Oryctolagus cuniculus: one gene and its partners. The protein of the gene in region 2 purifies or fractionates together with the protein of the main gene of each other region. This does not show direct contact. Links are inferred from orthologs where the notes say so. Each region holds a gene or a part of one and is shown on either strand. Other genes may lie near its edges. The genes, in order: SEC16A, AURKB, PPP6C and G3BP2.

What was found.
Region 1: the proteins of AURKB (region 2) and SEC16A purify together in Homo sapiens (affinity purification with mass spectrometry; 3 studies listed by BioGRID and IntAct, with this or other methods). This does not show direct contact. The link is inferred for Oryctolagus cuniculus from reciprocal best matches to the Homo sapiens genes AURKB and SEC16A.
Region 3: the proteins of AURKB (region 2) and PPP6C purify together in Homo sapiens (affinity purification with mass spectrometry, with the first as the bait; 3 studies listed by BioGRID). This does not show direct contact. The link is inferred for Oryctolagus cuniculus from reciprocal best matches to the Homo sapiens genes AURKB and PPP6C.
Region 4: the proteins of AURKB (region 2) and G3BP2 purify together in Homo sapiens (affinity purification with mass spectrometry; 3 studies listed by BioGRID and IntAct, with this or other methods). This does not show direct contact. The link is inferred for Oryctolagus cuniculus from reciprocal best matches to the Homo sapiens genes AURKB and G3BP2.

What each region holds. Positions count from the first base shown.
Region 1 is NC_091432.1:236,597,934-236,602,021, reverse strand, and holds part of SEC16A (protein transport protein Sec16A), read right to left. Parts: intron 2,342-4,088; 5' UTR 2,266-2,341; coding exon 1-2,265. UniProt on the Homo sapiens protein: Acts as a molecular scaffold that plays a key role in the organization of the endoplasmic reticulum exit sites (ERES), also known as transitional endoplasmic reticulum (tER).
Region 2 is NC_091448.1:52,688,432-52,693,245, forward strand, and holds the start of AURKB (aurora kinase B), read right to left. Parts: upstream 3,052-4,814; 5' UTR 2,967-3,051; intron 2,703-2,966; exon of another isoform or gene 2,680-2,702; 5' UTR 2,655-2,679; coding exon 2,607-2,654; intron 1,230-2,606; coding exon 1,127-1,229; intron 1,024-1,126; coding exon 972-1,023; intron 806-971; coding exon 614-805; intron 489-613; coding exon 350-488; intron 241-349; coding exon 92-240; intron 1-91. UniProt on the Homo sapiens protein: Serine/threonine-protein kinase component of the chromosomal passenger complex (CPC), a complex that acts as a key regulator of mitosis.
Region 3 is NC_091432.1:228,970,572-228,973,923, forward strand, and holds part of PPP6C (serine/threonine-protein phosphatase 6 catalytic subunit), read right to left. Parts: intron 1,791-3,352; coding exon 1,711-1,790; intron 1,534-1,710; coding exon 1,324-1,533; intron 527-1,323; coding exon 278-526; 3' UTR 1-277.
Region 4 is NC_091439.1:90,185,957-90,190,786, reverse strand, and holds the start of G3BP2 (ras GTPase-activating protein-binding protein 2), read right to left. Parts: upstream 3,029-4,830; 5' UTR 2,816-3,028; intron 2,713-2,815; 5' UTR 2,594-2,712; exon of another isoform or gene 2,528-2,593; intron 1-2,527. Other genes in the region: USO1 (general vesicular transport factor p115), read left to right, coding at 3,340-3,405.

The DNA of each region.
Region 1 (4,088 bases), on a different chromosome or scaffold from region 2:
GTAGAGTGCGGGCGCGGCGGGCGCCAGGAGGACATTGCCTCCGAAGTCCGGCAGCTCGTTCTGCGCCCACAGCGTCGTGGCCGGGCTCTCACACTTCGCGACGCCCTGAGCCCTGGCCGAGGGCCTCTTCTCGGGGGCATGCGAGGACGGCGCCCCCGGGGGCGGGAGCACGTGGCCGGCTTCCACGCTGGCGCTCCGAGGTGGCAGACCGACCTGAGGGGCAAAGAGGGTCTCCATGTTGTCGGGGGGCTGCTCCAGGTTGCCAGGCGAGGCATCGGGCGGCGTGGCGGCCGGCTTGCACTTCTGATGGGCAGGGGTCTCCCTCACTTCACCCACCACGTTGGCTCGATCTGCCTCCATTGGTCTCACCCCCACCAAGTGGGATTTTACCGGTTCGAAAGAGCTGTTTGCACTTGTCTGGAACACCCCCACGGGCTTGGGCGGGCTGGGGGTCGGGGGCGGCTGGGCCAGGCCGCCGCGGTGACTCTGCCGCACAGCGCCATCTGCTGTCTCTCCGCCCACGGGAGAAGAATCGATCTGCTGGAAGAAGCTGCCGGACGCCTCCTCCTCGGGCTTCCCGACTTCCTGCTGGATGAATGTGCCCGCCAGCTCCTGGGGCCGGGCCGATCCCGAGCGCCTCCCGTGGCTCGCACCGCTGTGCCCACAGGACAGGCCGTCTGGCCGCACGGGGGGCGACGCCGCGTCCGGGGCCTCCAGATTCACGCCCCCTCCTCCAGCGAGGCCCGCAGTGCCGGGCCTGGGGACAGCGCACCCGGGAAGGGGCCCGAATCGGAACGGATCCCCCAGGCAGGCGTCGGCCACGCTCGGGGGCTCACTCGGCAGAACTTCCTGATTCTGAGCGAACTCCAGGTTCTCGTCGTCGTCGTACCGGGAGCCACTGGCCCCGGGCCTCTCGGCGTTCGCCGCATCGCCCAGCGCACCACGGGCAGCGTGGTCAGGGGCTGCGGTGTCGGGCTGGAAGCCTTCAGGCTGAGGGAAGTGAGGCTGCGTGTCTCCCCGCTGCTGCACGCTCTCGCCGTGGGGACCTTTGAGAAAGGCCTGGCGCGTGGCCCCTGCTCCCACGTGGGCAGCGGTGGCTGGGTGGCCCAGTCCAGGGCTGGGGGACAGCCCGTCAAAGGCCGAGGTGCCGGCACAGCCTGCTTGTTCAGATGAGAGGTTCTCCTCATTTTCAGTCTCCCCACTCTGGAAAAACATCGAGAGCGCGCCCGAGTCTGCGTCGGGCAGCACCCAGCCGGCCCCCGCGGCCGGGGCGCAGTGCAGGCGGTCCTGCGGGCTGTTCTGAGCAGGGGTGCTCACGAGGGCCGCGCCGGTCACTCCCGGATTCTGCCGGAGCTCCTGCTTTGCCCAGGTATTTGCAACTCTGCAATTCTGCCCGAACGCGCCTTCAGGACGGACGCCGTGTGCTGAGTGGTTTCGGCCCTGCGGGCAGGCCGGCTCGTTGCTCCCGTCGCCGGCCGCGGGCGCTGGGCCGTGCTGCTCGGGGCCGGGACCTCGAGGCTGGCCGGGCGGCGGGGGGAGCGGGAGGACGCCAGCATTCTGAAGCGACCCTTCCGAGCAGGGCGAGTGAGGCTGGCCGGCGGGCCGCGGGCCCCCCTGCGCCTGCCCCCACTGCTCTGGCCCCTGCTGACAAGGCTGGGGGAAGGAGGCGGCGGCCGTGGCTGTCCCCACACTGGCGTGCAGGTCGTGCCCGCTGGGGGGCCGGTCAAGCCATGGCATGGTCCCACGCGCAGGGGCCCCGTGAGACTCGTCAGGACCCACTCCTGGAATGCAGTGAGGCGGATACGGCAGAGTCTGGACGCCAGGCTCCGAGCCGGGACCAAGCTCTGCATTCCTGTTCACCTCCGACCCAGGCAACACCGAGGCCGGCACACTAGGAAACAGACTGGCGTCTGCTCTGGGCTGCGCCAGAGGCCCCGGCGGGGGCTCCCAGGGTGCTTGGGAGCTGTCCCCGGCATCTGTGTGCGGCACGGGCACGCCGGGGTACTGGGCGAGCCCTGAGGGCACCGGGCCCTGGACACCGGGCAGGCCGGCCCTGGACGCCGCGCCTGCTGGGCCGCTCTGCAGCGCCTGTCTGCTAAAGACAAAGGGGTCCGTCACGGGCTGCGGGGGACAGGCGGCTGGGGCCACGGCGCTGCCGCCCGCCCGTCTCCTGTACGGGCTGTGCGCCCAGAGCACGCTGTGAGGACTGCCGGCCGGAGGAGGCCCAGCGGCGCCGGGCGGGACTGCCTGGGGCGGTGGCTGCATGGCTGAGCTCCGGCACAGGTGGGCGCCGCTCACAGGAGGAGGAGGACGACGCGGACCAGCACTTCCTCAACGTGAACTGCAAGAGAAAAAGAGGCACAAAGTCACCACGCCCCCGTCTACACCGACACCTGACGCACTCCACATCCCCATCTACACCGACACCCGACGCACTCCACGTCCCATCACCACGTCCCCGTCTACACCGACACCCGACGCACTCCACGTCCCATCACCACGCCCCCGTCTACACCGACACCCGACGCACTCCACATCCCCATCTACACCGACACCCGACGCACTCCACGTCCCATCACCACGTCCCCGTCTACACCGACACCCGACGCACTCCACGTCCCCGTCTACACCGACACCCGACGCACTCCACGTCCCAGGGGCCCCTGGGAAGACACACGGACACAGACTGAGGTGTTCACACGCCAAGCCCCACCCCTCTGCCCACTGCACCCGGCCAAGCTGCCGGGGCCCCCTGGGAGGAGGCAGGGTGGCCGCCAGCGGCAGAGCAGGTTCCCTGCTGGCGTCGCTCACCCTCTGGTGCTCCCGCGCCCGGCAGGGCCAGCGGCTCCAACACCCCTCCCGACGCCCCCCCCACAAGGTGCGCCGGGCCGACACGTTCCTGTAGACCACCCCCTCCTCCCCCAACAGAGAGAAACGGCTCAGCACCCTTCGCACACGGGGACTTCAAGTCCCACAGGACAGACAAGGTCGTGGGCACCCGGCCGAGGCGCTAGGACCGTTCACTGCCCACAGCCGGGCGCCTGGTGCGACCCCGGGCTCGGGCCCTGGGAGGCAGCAGCGGGAGCTCGAGTGACTGCCGGCACCCCGGGGACAGCGGACGGCAGGCGTGCAAGCTGTGCCGCTGCCAGGAGCAGACCTGCCAGCCGGGAGAACCCTCCCTCTCCCCACGTCAGAGGCCTCCTCTCGCCCGGCCCTCGGCTGCCCCACCCTGGGGTTCTCACGGCACCCGGAAACTCGAGCGGCAGAGAGCGGCTGGGCCTGCCAGGCCGCCCGCGTCCGACCTGGGTTCACCCAGGACCTACAGAGCGCGCAGCCTCCCCGCCGGCGCCTGTGTCCACTAACGTGGGGCAGGCTCGGCCTCCACCGACCGCCCGGACGTCCGCAACCCGCGTCTGGGCCCCCAGATCCACAAAGTCCTTTTCCCCGTCAGCCGCTCAGAGAGATCAGAGCCGGGGGGGCTCCTGGCGGGGCCCGGGGCTGCCGCCCACCCCGACAGCCGTCCAGACGCGTGCACAGACGGCAGCCACGGACGCCTCAAGTGAACCTACCCGTGGCCCCGCTCCTCCTAACCCGCCGCTCACCCCCGGCCCGCCCTCCCTGGCTGAGAGCACAGAGCAATGGCTGGGCCAGAGCAAGCAGCGCGCTCAGCGACCCCTCAGGGGGGCTGGACAGCCGGACACCCCCCCCGCAGACGCCTGACACTGCCCCCCCCGCAGACGGCCTGCCACCGCCCCCCCCGCAGACGCCTGACACTGCCCCCCACACACACTGTAGATGGACACCCCCCCCCCGCAGACGGCCTGACACCGCCCCCACACACACTGTAGATGGACACCCCCCCCCGCAGACGGCCTGACACCGCCCCCACACACACTGTAGACGGACACCCCCCCCCCCCCCCGCAGACGGCCTGACCCCGCCCCCCCAGCCTGCCGCCAGGCGCCGGCGTCCCAGGTCCGCGGGTCACTGCTGGGCAAGGACTTTCCCCTGGGCAGGCGTCGGCACAAGACCCTGAACCATTCCAGCGGGGTCTGCTTTAAACAACCAGGCAGGGCACCGGCCTCGTC
Region 2 (4,814 bases):
CACCTGGGGTCAGAACTATGCGTCTCCTACTTTCCTACCGGGATTGCCCAGAGGTGCCGCCTGCCAGGGCCGGCTTCCCAGCGCCACGTACCGCAGGGAGGGCGCGTGCACAGACCAGCCGAAATCCGCGATCTTCAGCTCCCCCTGCAGCCCCAGGAGCAGGTTCTCCGGCTTGATGTCCCTGTGAATCACTTTCTTCTCGTGGCAGTAGCGCAGGGCATCTGCCAGCTCCTCCATGATCTGGGAGGGCGGGGACAGGCAGTCAGACAAGGACAGCCCCGCGGCCACAGGCAGCGTGCCCCCAGCCTCAAGCCCCCAGCCGGGGTCCCAGGTGCCCACCCGCCCCGACCGTGGCTGTTCGCTGCTCGTCAAAAGTGCGGCTTTTCTGCAGCTCCTTGTACAGCTCGCCGCGCGGGGCGTACTCCAGGATCAGGTAGATTCTCCTCCGGTCGTAGAAATAGTTGTAGAGACGCAGAATGTTGGGATGCCTGCAGCAGGAGACAGGAGGCCTCAGGCCACATCCGGGCATAAAGGGAAGATGATAGGGCCCAGGCTGGGGAACTGGACCCAGCTCTCAGGGGCCACAGTCTGGACTCCCGGGGCGGGGGCGTACTGCAGGTGCGCCTGGATCTCGATCTCCCTGCGCAGCTGGTGCTCCACACCCTCTTTCTCGATCTGAGACTTGAAGAGGACCTTGAGTGCCACGATGAAATGGCTCTTCTTCTCCCGGGCCAAGTACACGTTTCCAAATTTGCCTTTGCCCAGAGGACGGCCGATCTCGAAGTCGTCGATGGTGAAGGGCCGCCTGCTCAGCAAGTGGGGGACACAGCTCAGCGCCGGCCTGCCGGGCAGCCCAGGAGTCTGCTTTCTCCCCACTCCCTCAGCCCCCCCACCTCCACCGCGGCTCCCCCACTTCTGCCGGTCCCAGGCCGTCCCTTCCCGCTGGCCACCTCCAGGCTGGGAGCACTCACGTGAAGTTGGGTGCCCCACTGCTGTTCTCCATCCCCTTCTGCCCAAGGACAGCTAAGGAGAGAGCGGGAGAGGTGAGACCCTGCTGGGACATCCTCCCTACCCGTCCCGTAGACTCCAGCTCCCCAGTCCCTGCTTTCCCTCCTGGGCCACTTGCCTGTGGGCGGGGCGTTGGAGCGGTTCATGAGGACAAGGGCAGAGGGGGTGGCAGCCTCCTTCCGCAGGATTCTCTGAGGCAGAGTGTTCAGGCCAGACTGAGGCTAAGGAGGAGAAGGCGGAGCGCCAGGGCGCCTTTGTCCCAGGGACCCGGCTGGAATGTGCCGCGAGCAGCTTTTCTGCTCCTGCCTAAACAGCTTCCCACGTGCTGTCCACCCCCAGTGCTGAGAAAAACCCTGATACGACAGTTTTGGCCTCCAGCCCCAAGACTCTGTTCAGAGTCTCATGTTAAAATGGGTTATTAATCCTCTGCCTGCGGCGCCGGCACACCAGGTTCTAGTCCCGGTCAGGGCGCCGGATTCTGTCCCGGTTGCGCCTCTTCCAGGCCAGCTCTCTGCTGTGGCCAGGGAGTGCAGTGGAGGATGGCCCAAGTGCTTGGGCCCTGCACCCCACGGGAGACCAGGAGAAGCACCTGGCTCCTGGCTTCGGATCAGCGCGGTGCACCGGCCACAGCGTGCCGGCCGTGGCGGCCATTGGAGGGTGAACCAAAGGCAAAAGGAAGACCTTTCTCTCTGTCTCTCTCTCTCTCTCTTACTGTCCACTCTGCCTAGAGGTGGGGCAGGGGGCGGCACTGGTGCAGCGGGTAAAGCCACCTGCAGTGCCAGCATCCCATATGGGCCCTCCACTTCCCATCCAGCTCCCTACTCATACATCTGGGAAAGCAGTGGAGGATGGCCCAAGTGCTTGGGCCCCTGCACCGGTGTGGGAGACCCAGAGGAAGCTCCTGGCTCCGGCCTGGCCCAGCTCTGCCTGTCACGAGCATTTGAGGAGTGAACCAGCGGATGGAAGAACTCTCTCTCTCTGTATCTTTCAAATAAATAAATAAATCCTTAAAAAATAATAATAATAACCCAAGTGGGCCAAAAACAGGGGACTCCTCCCCAACACCTAACATTTCACCTCCTTGGCCCTGGCCTGTGCCACCGTCTCAGGCATGACTGTCTAGTCTGTGTAGTCCTGTCCATGACACCGCACCGGCTCCCCCAACCCTCACACCAGGGGCCAGGTGAGGGCCTGGTCAACCAACCCCACAGCGTCAGCACACTGGCAAGCTCAGCCGATTAGAGCTTAGATGAGGCCAGGGAGGCAGCCAATGCCACTTCAGGACAGACTTCTTCCTTTTGGCAGTGACAATGGCGGCTCATTCAGACCCGCTCTTAATGGCCTCGCTCAGTGCTCCGCGAGGGAGGCAGCCGGCGCACAGGGGAGACATGGACCCTCCACCACCAGACCAGAACCAAAGCCTCACCAATAGACGGCACAAGTTCAGCCGGAAGGAGGCGGCTCCGGGGGCCCTGAAAACCTGCTTCCCAACAGTGATCGACGCATGGCCAAGTGGAACAAAACACGCTTAGGGCATAAGGGGGCAGGCGGTGCCGAGGGGGTGGTCCAGCGCGTCCCGCGGGGCGGGGTGGCCTTACCGTGGGTCGGCTGTAGGGCCAGGGGTAGGCGTTCTCCTTCTGGGCCATCCTCACGGGGTAGCGGGGAGGGCGCCTGGGCGGAGAAGGGAAAGAGTCCTGAGAAGCAGAAAGGGGAATTAAAAAAAAAAAAAAAAAAAAAAAAACCAGCGGTGGGATCGGATGGATCCAGCCAGAAGCGCCGTCCGGGCTGGCGAGAGGGCTGGCCACACCCCGGACGCTCGTCCCGCAGCCCCGGCGCCGGGACCCGCCCAGCCCCCTTCCAGGACCCTCTCTCTCCACCCCTGAGCGCTCAGGAGCCCCGCGATCCGCCTGAGCCCCTGGCCGCACCGGGCCGAGGCCCGCGAACGGAGGCCGGCTCACCTGAGGCCGCCGGGAACTACCGAACCTGCCGGGCAGCGCCTCCGCCGAGGCGCTTTCAAATCTCCCGCTCTGGCCCCATTGGCTGCCGGCGCCACCCTCGCCCAATTCTCATTGGATCTCTCACCTATGACGTAGCCAAGGGGACCCAATGGGAACCGCGGAAGGCGAGCCGCCGCCGACTCCGTTCCGGTTTGGGAAAAGTTCCCCCGGTGACCCGGGGAGAGGAGTTTTTGCTTTCTCTTCGTTTTTAAAAGTGTGAATTTTTAATATAAACGGAGACTGTGTGAGCCAGGATCGAAGTTCGTTTCCTTCCGGGCCGCCGATGCCGGCACCGTGGGTGAAGCGAGCTGCCCCGGTTCCCAGCGGGATTTAAACGCGGGCCTTGGGTCCCCGTGCGGGGGGACCGGGTCTTCAAACCCGAACAAAGGTGCATCGAGTAGCTGCAGGCGCTAGCCAGGAAGAAACGGCGACTGTGGCCTGGGCCGAGTGTCCTCTCCTGCCTGCCACGGGCTGAGTGACGGGTGGAAGTGGTGAGCCTGGTGAGCAAGGCAGGCGTTCGGTGCCTCGCGTCTACACTGGCGGCAGCCAGAGGCCCGCTGTCCCCGTGCGGGGCAGGCTTGGCAGTAGGTAGGGTAGTCCAGGAGGAGCAGCAAGCCGGGTTCCTGCATGGGGCCGCGGCTCCCACCAGGATGCTGTGGGACTTCAGGCCTGAGTTAAGGTGTTAACCGACACTCACGAATGCAAAATGGCGGTGGCTGAGACCCTCCAGGGGCAAAGGCTCGGGGCGACCAGCGAAGGAGGTGTTTGCTGAAATTAGAGGGTAATATGGAAGGGGTAGCGGGAAGGTGGTTATAGATACCAGCTACGACCTTGTGACCAGCTGCGGAAATAATGAGTGTGATTCTCATGTGCACTTCTTCCTATTTTGTTATGGGTGTGTGTGTGTGAGAGAGAGAGACATGTAGGCGAGAAGACGGATTGCCTCTTTGCGTCTTCTTATAGAATAACTAACGCAAGTCAGGGGCTCGAGTTTGGATGGGCAGCGAGGGCAGCGGGCGTGTCGGGGGCTAGCCTCACACCCTCTCCTGTCCGCCTCCGTCTCGCTCTATAGGACGCCCTAGACATTGGGACCACTCTGGCAGGAGGAGGGCCAGGGGCGACGGAGCGGAGGGGAGCGGAGGGCAAGGCCCAGGTTCCAGCCTGGACAGCGGGTGCCGTGTGGACGGCGGGGAGGTAGGACACATTCCTTGCCAGCCACCCAAGCCTGCCTCACCAGCAAAGGCACTATCAGTCAAGGAAAGAGATGGCAAGAAAAGGAGGGCCAGGCTCGCTGGGCGCTGGGCGGCCGGGCTGCATTTCTTTGTTTTTCTGTTGTTTACTTTCAGCGTAGTAGAAGCAAGGAGATACATACGCCTCCAGGCTAGCGCCCTCTGAGAAATCTGGAGACAGCTAACAGTAGTATTTAATGCCTTGTGTTCCATGCTAAGTTGACAAAGATAGAGCATCAGAGATCATTGAAAACACTTAAAAAACGTGGACCCGAATTCTGAACACAAGAAAAAAAATTATTAAAAAGAGCAAAATAATGAATAGATCACCTTTGGGAAAGTCGTACGGCCCTTTGGACAGCAGCAGTTGGCAGTTCAGCTAAGGGGACCTTTTACTTGGGAACTTGGAAGTTTCAGGAATTTATGCCACAAACCTAATTCGGTAGGGGCAGAGTAAAAATGAATCACAAAGATGCTCAGGGCAACCTTTTAAATACTAAGAAAAAAAGTGCAGATCATCAGAAAACCAAACTACCGAGCTGTGGAAGAGCTGTTTAAGAATTCGCAGAACTGCCATCAG
Region 3 (3,352 bases), on a different chromosome or scaffold from region 2:
ATGCAAGAGCTACATGCAGCAGTATGTGTATTAAGACATTTCTCAAGTCTTCTCAAATGAGTCCAAGGTGGGGATGGGATGGAGGAGAAATTGATAGAAAAACATTGCTATAGACACCATAACAAACAATAAACTCAGATAATTTAAAATCAAAAAAAGGCAAGAGGCAGCATTTCAGCAGCAAAGTGCTCAATAAAAAGTATACTGCAGAGGGTAATACGAGAGAGTCGGGGGAAGAAGAGGGTAGAGAAGTGGGTCAGCAGGATGGGCGAAGGCCTCAAAGGAAATACGGCGTCGTCGTTCTGGGAGGGATAACACGTTCTGAATCTGGAACTGCCCGGAATAACTTTGGTTCTCTTGTATTTACATCTTTGAAGACCATGATTGAAGCAATATTTCCACAACGATAGCAGTAATTAGGAGCAGACCATACTGTTACCAGCTTTTCATCAAACATAAATTTATAGCCTTCATGCACTAGTTGATGTGCTCTGCAGATGAGTTTTAGGTTGTTGATATGAACAAACTGCAATTCAGAAAAACTTTGTAAGCATTCAGAAAATCTTTTGAATGTGGCCTATAAGATATAAGGTACAATCATTTAAAATATCGAATTCTGCTGAAGTTCCCATAATTTTACAACCTGTTCTATAATTATCCCTGTAAAATTTCAATACATCAGGCACAGTCACTTTGGCCTGAAGCAATTACAGAGCTACAGACATCATACAGCCACATAATTTGATGTTTCTGGAAGAGTTAGATGAGTACTACCGTATAGGAACAGTTTCACTTTTACAGTTAATAAGAAATATTTGTATCAATATAATATCAGTTACTGAGAATGCAGTATATATAGTTCTTGAAATAATTATCCTTCTTTTGCAACTTGAGGAAACAAAGGCTGAGCCTGGATAAACAGCATACCCAAGTTCCACTGATGGACTCAACCCACGCCTCCATTATGCGGAAGCCTTCCCAAAATGCCATCATCCCATGTGTGCACATGTGTGCGTTTAACTGAAAACAGTTGACCTTCAAAAAGTTGCCTGTCTTGCCCATGCTGTCGTGTATTTAACTGCCACATTTGAAAGGAAAGGAGCACTTACTGTATACACAGCACAGGTGGACCCTGGAGTAGGAGCTTTCACAATTAACCACTATGGAAAGGTATGTGTGAATAAACCAGACTAGAAATGGGATATCCATAGCGCCCACAGTTGGAGGAAACTAGACTACAAATTTGCTTTCTAAGGCCAACATAATTCTGTACACAGTCCATTAGCAACCAACAAACTATTTTTCCAAAAATGTTGACTTTACCTCATTTGTGACCTTTGCTCCAAAAAGCCAGCCTGCTCCTCGGGGGCTGATCGCCCAGGTGTCCACATCCTCAGGGTCCGACCAGACCAGGTCACAGAACGCTCCTTTATGAGGGATTTCCTGATTCCGCTCGATAGTTCGAATCTGATCCAGTGTTTTGATATCAGGAGATAAACCACCATGAACACACAAAATCTGCTCATCTATTAACTAGCAAAAAGAAAAAAACAATAAAGAGGTGAATGTATAATAAACTCAGCCATATCTAAATTCATCAATGAATGCTAAAGATATCAATATAACTGACATGACCATCAGATAAAAATATGTAGTAAGTCACTGACAGGAAAACAGTTGAGGTTTTTAAAAAGATTCATAAAAACCTACAGCTGCTACTGTGAGCATGTCGAAAACTTTGGTACAGTATCTCCAGGCATTAGCATTTCCATATTTGGTTTGGCACTCATCTGTGAAAGAAAAAGAAAAATTCTCATTAATGAAGCTCTGAGTTTGCTGATAAAAATAAACAATGTATCCAGTACTAGAGCAGTCTTAAGTACAAAAGAAATTCAGCTTAAACTGGGATGGCAAATTATGACACATACTTGGCTCTACATACAGCACCTATCTCTGAGTGTGTGTGTGTGTGTGTGTGTGTATGTCTTAAGGATATGGTCTTGCTTTTCATTCCAGAAATGGCCCTAAGAAGCAGCTGAAATTATTGGCCAAAATGCTATCATCAGGAAGAGCTAAAAACTAATTTCACGCAACCTAAAGCAAACACTTTTGGCAGTTATGTTAATATTAGGCAATTTCATCAAACAGATTAATTTATTTAATGTGACTACCTTATTACAGCAGGATAATCAAATCAAATAAATTAGAAGATCCATAATTATAGAAGCATGAGTAATTCCTAGCTCAACATTTCTCAGGCCCAAGTTGTCTGCTCCGAGATTTTCTGTAAACTGTACAAGTAAACACTTAACTCACTAGGTACACTTGTTGGCCTTGCTGAAGACAGACTGTTCATCAGATTTTGATATATTCCCAGCTGAATCCTCTCTGCTATGTTGTTGACAGGATACATATCTGTTCTTTTAATAAACACTATCAACCTTTGCTATGCAGTTTCTTAATAAAAAAAAAAAAATCTAAGAAGGTTTTGGTGTAGCAGTTAAGATGCTCCTTAGGGGCCGGCGCCGCGGCTCACTAGGCTAATCCTCCACCTAGCGGCGCCGGCACACCGGGTTCTAGTCCCGGTCGGGGCGCCGGATTCTGTCCCGGTCGCCCCTCTTCCAGGCCAGCCCTCTGCTGTGGCCAGGGAGTGCAGTGGAGGATGGCCCAGGTGCTTGGGCCCTGCACCCCATGGGAGACCAGGATAAGCACCTGGCTCCTGGCTCCTGTCATCGGATCAGCGCGGTGCGCCAGCCGCAGCGCGCCGACCGCGGCGGCCATTGGAGGGTGAACCAACGGCAAAGGAAGACCTTTCTCTCTGTCTCTCTCTCTCACTGTCCACTCTGCCTGTCAAAAAAAAAAAAAAATAAATAAAATAAAATAAAATAAAATAAATAAAAAAGATGCTCCTTAGGAGGAAGGTGTTGTGGGCAGCCAGTTCAGTTGCCACTTGGGCCATGTGTGTGCCCAGGCCAGAGTGAGGGTTTGAGTCCTAGCTACTCTGCTTCCAATCCAGCTTCCTGCTGAAACGTCCTGGGGGCAGCAGATGGTGGTTCAAGTGCATGTGCCCCTGCCATGCATGTGGGAAACCTGGAAACCTGGATGGAGTTATGGGCTTCTAGCTCTGGCCTGGCCTGACCCAGCCCAGCCCAGCCCTGGGCATTTGGGGAATGAAATAGCAGATGAAAGAGATCTCTCTCCACCTTTCAATCAGATGAAAAAATAAATATTTTTTCAAAGATGAAGCTTAGGATGCATGCATTCTATAACAGAGTACCAATCCAGACTCAGCTCCTGATTCCAGCTTCTAGCTAACACATATTCTGGGAAGCAACAGGTGATGGCCCAACTA
Region 4 (4,830 bases), on a different chromosome or scaffold from region 2:
TATGATAAAAAGTACTGAATTAGTCACTAAAGGCCACCACAATACTCCTAAACTAACACTAGCACCTTAAAAAGTTATTCTGAAACCTGGATTCTGGAGTCAGCGAAGCATTGCAGTCTCCCCCTCTATCTCTGCAATCCTGCCTTTCAAATAAATAAACCTTAAAAAAAACTGTACATGATGATGTCTTCCAAACACAAATTATCATTTCTATTACTCCTAAGCAAACACAGAGACTGCTCCACCTCACCACCGCTACCCCCACTAAAAAACAATCTTTTGCAATGATGTTTAATTGTTTTTGCTGAGTTTTCCACTAGAAAGGAAGGTAGGATGGGAAAAGTGAGCCACTGAACAAAGTAATTTTAAAACATAGATTTCACTCCCAATGAATTCTGTTGTCAGGTGTAGTTTAGGAAAACTTAGAAATATAGAAAAATTTAAAAACATTCTAATTTACTCAAAATTTTGAGTTCTATATATTTTAATGGCACATGGCATTCTTATTCTGAATTTATTTATGAAAATCAAAAGAGTAAGTTAGGCAGTAACAGCTCTTTCATGTTGTCTCCTCTTTGACTTATTTAAGAAATGGTTCTTCAGCAATTACCATGCTAAAGGAATTCCATTAGATGATCAAAGGGTACAGCACAGTCCTGAACTGGCCTCTGTATGAGCAGGAGTCACAGAGAACCCCCTTTCTCTTAAGGAAGAAGTCCATTTCAGGGTTGTTCTGCAGTGATGGTGCCTCTGCTCCCCTTCAAGACCCTGACTGGGGACAAATCAGCCACTACACCCTGTCTGTCTCCTTCTGAGGCTGGCGGTTGGGAGCAGCTTGCACCTGCTGTGAGACAGCAGAACCCAGGCGAGACTTGGGGCCAGGGAGCCTGGACAACTCCAGCCTCACCACCTCTGCACCCACTGTCCACTGCTCTTGCCCACAGTCCCTCCCGCCCAGGGGATGCTGCTACGGAAGAAAATAGGTCAAATGAAGGGGAAATTCAGTCAGCTGTTACCACTACATTCACCAACGTTTACAAGTAAACGGCACATTTCAACAAGACCAAAGTGAAGATGCTGTGTTTTATTACTGAGCCGCAGGAACGGTAGCCCTACTCCAGGCCACAGCCTTCTCCCTGACCATGGGGCCGTGAGGTTCAGGGAGCGGTGAGGCTGCGGTGAGACCTGGCCAGTGAAGTTCTTTTAAGTTCTCTGTGCACAGTACTTGGTGACAAAAATGCGGAGCACCGATTGGTTACTTATTTTAGGCTGCAACAAAATGCCCCCATGGAAAATGTCTGAAGCAAAATGTCAAGTGTCTAGTTTTAAAGCAGAGGACAATGCTTAGAACACAGTATTTTTGGCAAGACGATCCCACCCGTTCCCCAAGTCTCCCAGGCTTAAAATCTTGGCACTAGCAAACAAACTTTCACCACAGCCTTTGTGATAACAAGCTCTGTACAAATCTACTTTAGAGATGAAATCGGACCTCCTACTCAGCGCAGTCGTCATGTTCATTCAATTCAATGATTTATTCACTTATCCATCAACACCGCCTTCTATGAGACAACAGTACACCACAGAGACACAAAAATACGAGTCGTGCCCCTAACGGTTCATTAGGCTGTAAGCACTTGCCAGGTGCCCACCATAAATGAGTAACTACAAAGTGCTAGCCTACAGACACACACCCAGATTTCAGGGAGCTTTCCAGGAGATGATGTCCGAGGGGAGCCTTAAGGAACTAGCAGGAGTTGGCCAGGTGAAGAGGGAGGGAGAGGCAGGGCAAACTGCCCCGTGGAGCCTGATCCCAAGAGGCCCGTGCGGTTTGCATTTTATTATAGAGAACCGGGAGCCGCTGGAGGCGTCGGGGAAGAGGAGTGACAGCAACAGCTGTTTGGTGGTTGTCGGGCTCATGCAAGGGTGGACCGGAGCTCGGACTGCAGGGAGGCCAGGCCCGAATGCGGAAAAACTCGTCGGGAGGCTACTGCTTGATCTTAGTGAGAAACTATGTCAGAGGCAGGCGGGATGGAGAGCAGAGGACCTAGTTGAGAAACAGCCTATAAATAGAAACGATCGGGCTTGACTATCGATGGAGCACGGGGCTTTGCACGGGGGCTATTTGCAAAGCCAAAGTCCCACTCTTGCCGGCTTCCTCCCTCTGCCTTGGGCAATTATTTGGATAGTGGGACCAGAGAGCACCGCGGGGCACAGAGCAGAAGCAGTATATTGATTTTCTTTTTCTCGACGGGAGGCTCACAGAGAGGATGAGTTCAATTTTAAACGCTGCACCTGGGACCCACGGGGAATGCAGGGGCTGCGGGCAGCTTGAGCCAGTTAGCTAGGGAGACCCTGCGCTTTCCAGTCTCAGGAAATTCACAGGAGTACTGCAGAAGCATAAGTACCTGGCATACCGACTTGAGAAACAAATGACATTTTGCATTTTTGTAAGAGCCCTGCAAAGGCAAGCTCCGCGCTGCCAAACTGACGCCGCAGAACAATGGACTTGTAATTTCTCTTTTCTTACTCGAGCACGCCAGACGTGGGGTTCGGCGGGCTCGCCTCCTCACAGCACTTGGGAACAGCGGCGTACCTGGTGTCAGATCTAGGAATTCCTCTCCGCGGGTTTGAGGAACAAGCGCTGGGAAAGGCGCCCTCCAGTGGCGCTGGGAGGATGGGGGTCCAGCACCCTTCCCACCACCAAACAAAGCCCTGTGAAGAAATGCGATTGACAGGGATCAGAGGGCCACCACCACGCTGGCGCTGCTAACCCGAAAACCCAAAAGGGAACTCGCAGGGCCCGGGACCCCCTTACCTGTCACGTTGGCCGGAGGAGAATGTCACTTTCGACTCAACAAAACAAGCCCCCGGCTTGATAGCTCGCAGCCGAGTTCCGCTCGGCGGCAATTAAACACCCGGCGAGCCAAAACGCTTAGTCTAATCCGACCCTCTCCAGCCGGCAGGGCCGGGCTTCGACCACGTGGGTGGCTGCGGCCAGCAGGAGCAATCCGCGGAGGGCGGGGCCTGCGGCGGGGGCGGGGCCTCGCGGTGGGCGGGGCCTGGGCGGACCCCTCCCTAGGTGGCTCCTCTCGTCTCCTCTCCCCTTTTGCCTTCGCCCTTCGAGTCGCCACGTAATGCCACGTATCCGCGCATGCGCATCTCGGCCGGTGGTGGCGGCTGTTTCCGGGCTTAGGGGGCAGGAGCGGCCGCGGAGTAGGAGGCGGTGGTGGCGGCGGCCGGGGAGTGCCGAGTGCGGGCTCGGGGCCCCTGCGGAGGGCAGGAGAAGTTGTCTTCTTTTCTTTCCCGAAGAGGCTGTAAAGCCGGTGGCTGGGCGGCAAGATGAATTTCCTCCGCGGGGTGATGGGGGGTCAGAGTGCCGGACCCCAGCACACAGAAGCCGAGACGGTGAGTGGAGCCGTGGGGTCCGGGACTTGGGAAGGGTCCGGGCCAGGACGGGGAACGGAGAGGGCCAGAGGGCCTGGAGGTCGCCTCCCGCGCGTGGGGGACCCACGTGCCGCCTGCCTCTCCTGAGACCCCCCCCCCCCCCGAGCTACTTCCTCACGGCTCCCGCGCAGCCCCCCGCGCGGCGGCTCGGCCGGGCTGACAGCGGCCGCGCCCGCTCGCCCCGCAGGCCCCGCGGCTGGGTGGTCCCGCCCGGGCAGGCACGGATCCGGGCCAGAGGCGGCCCGACCCGCAGCTCCGCGGGCGCTTCCCTCCGCCCCCTTCGTCCGAGCCTCCGCCGGCCGAGAGGAGCCTGAAGCCTGCTCGCTGCCTTCTGTCTGGAAGCGGGGCGCTGGGGAAGACTGCATGGTTTAAAGCCCAGCTGTTGGCGACAGCGTGTGGCTAAGAATAAAACCATGTTCTTTGGGGCACAAAGCCACCTGCTCCCGTCCCGTCAGCTGGGAGGACCGGCCTTAGTTCAGACCCCGGCTTTCCGGGCTCACCCAGGTATGTGTCATGTGTCCAGTGCTGTGTCCACTTTGGAAACACACCTCTCGCTTTCCGTGTGAACAGGATTTGCAAGGACATTTTAAACGTGCGCTGCAGAAAACTGTTTGATAGTTGCCTCCGTGTTAGGTTATGGGATAATCTTAGTTGAAGTGTGGTTCTACTGGAAATGCGTGTGTGTGGCCTCTTTTTAAAAATAAAAATAAACTTTGTGTTTGAGAATAAGCTGAGATCTACAGAAAAGTGGGTGGGGTATGACATTTTAAAGTTTGGATAGACAGCTGTGTTACCCGGATTCTGGAGGGGAGTAAGGGTGGCTTCCATTCGTCCAGCTCTTACCTGGTGCTAGGTCTTTTGCTGAGCTGTTTATCTTCCACATTCTTCTTTAATCCTTAATTACCCTGCAAGATATGTGATGGTAGCCATCCATTACAAATGAAGAAATGAGGCTGAAAGAGGTGAAGTCATGTGATGGAGGTCTTAGACCCGGTGTTCCGTCAAGGTGTGCCTGAACTTCAAAGCTTAGACTTTATTGCTGATGCCCCCTACTTCACTACTTACCTGGGCATTTTGGGGAAATCGGGGTAATATTGTTAAAATTAACTGCTCATCTGGGTTAGAAGTGTTTAAAGCAGAAGTTGGAAGTCCGTGAATCTGTTTCCTTCATTTGAAAATCAGATCTGTCTCTGTCACACAAACACACAGAAAGAGTCTATTTGACCTCCCTTGTCCAGTCCCACACGGCAGCAAGGCAAGGCAGTGAGCCCTGTTGTAACACGGAGTTGTTCTCCCTGGATTACTGTAGCCACAGCCTACCCCCTCAGCCCTGCTTGCATCTCTCCTGTTGGCACTTGTGTTTGAGACCTGTTTGGAAGAGTGATT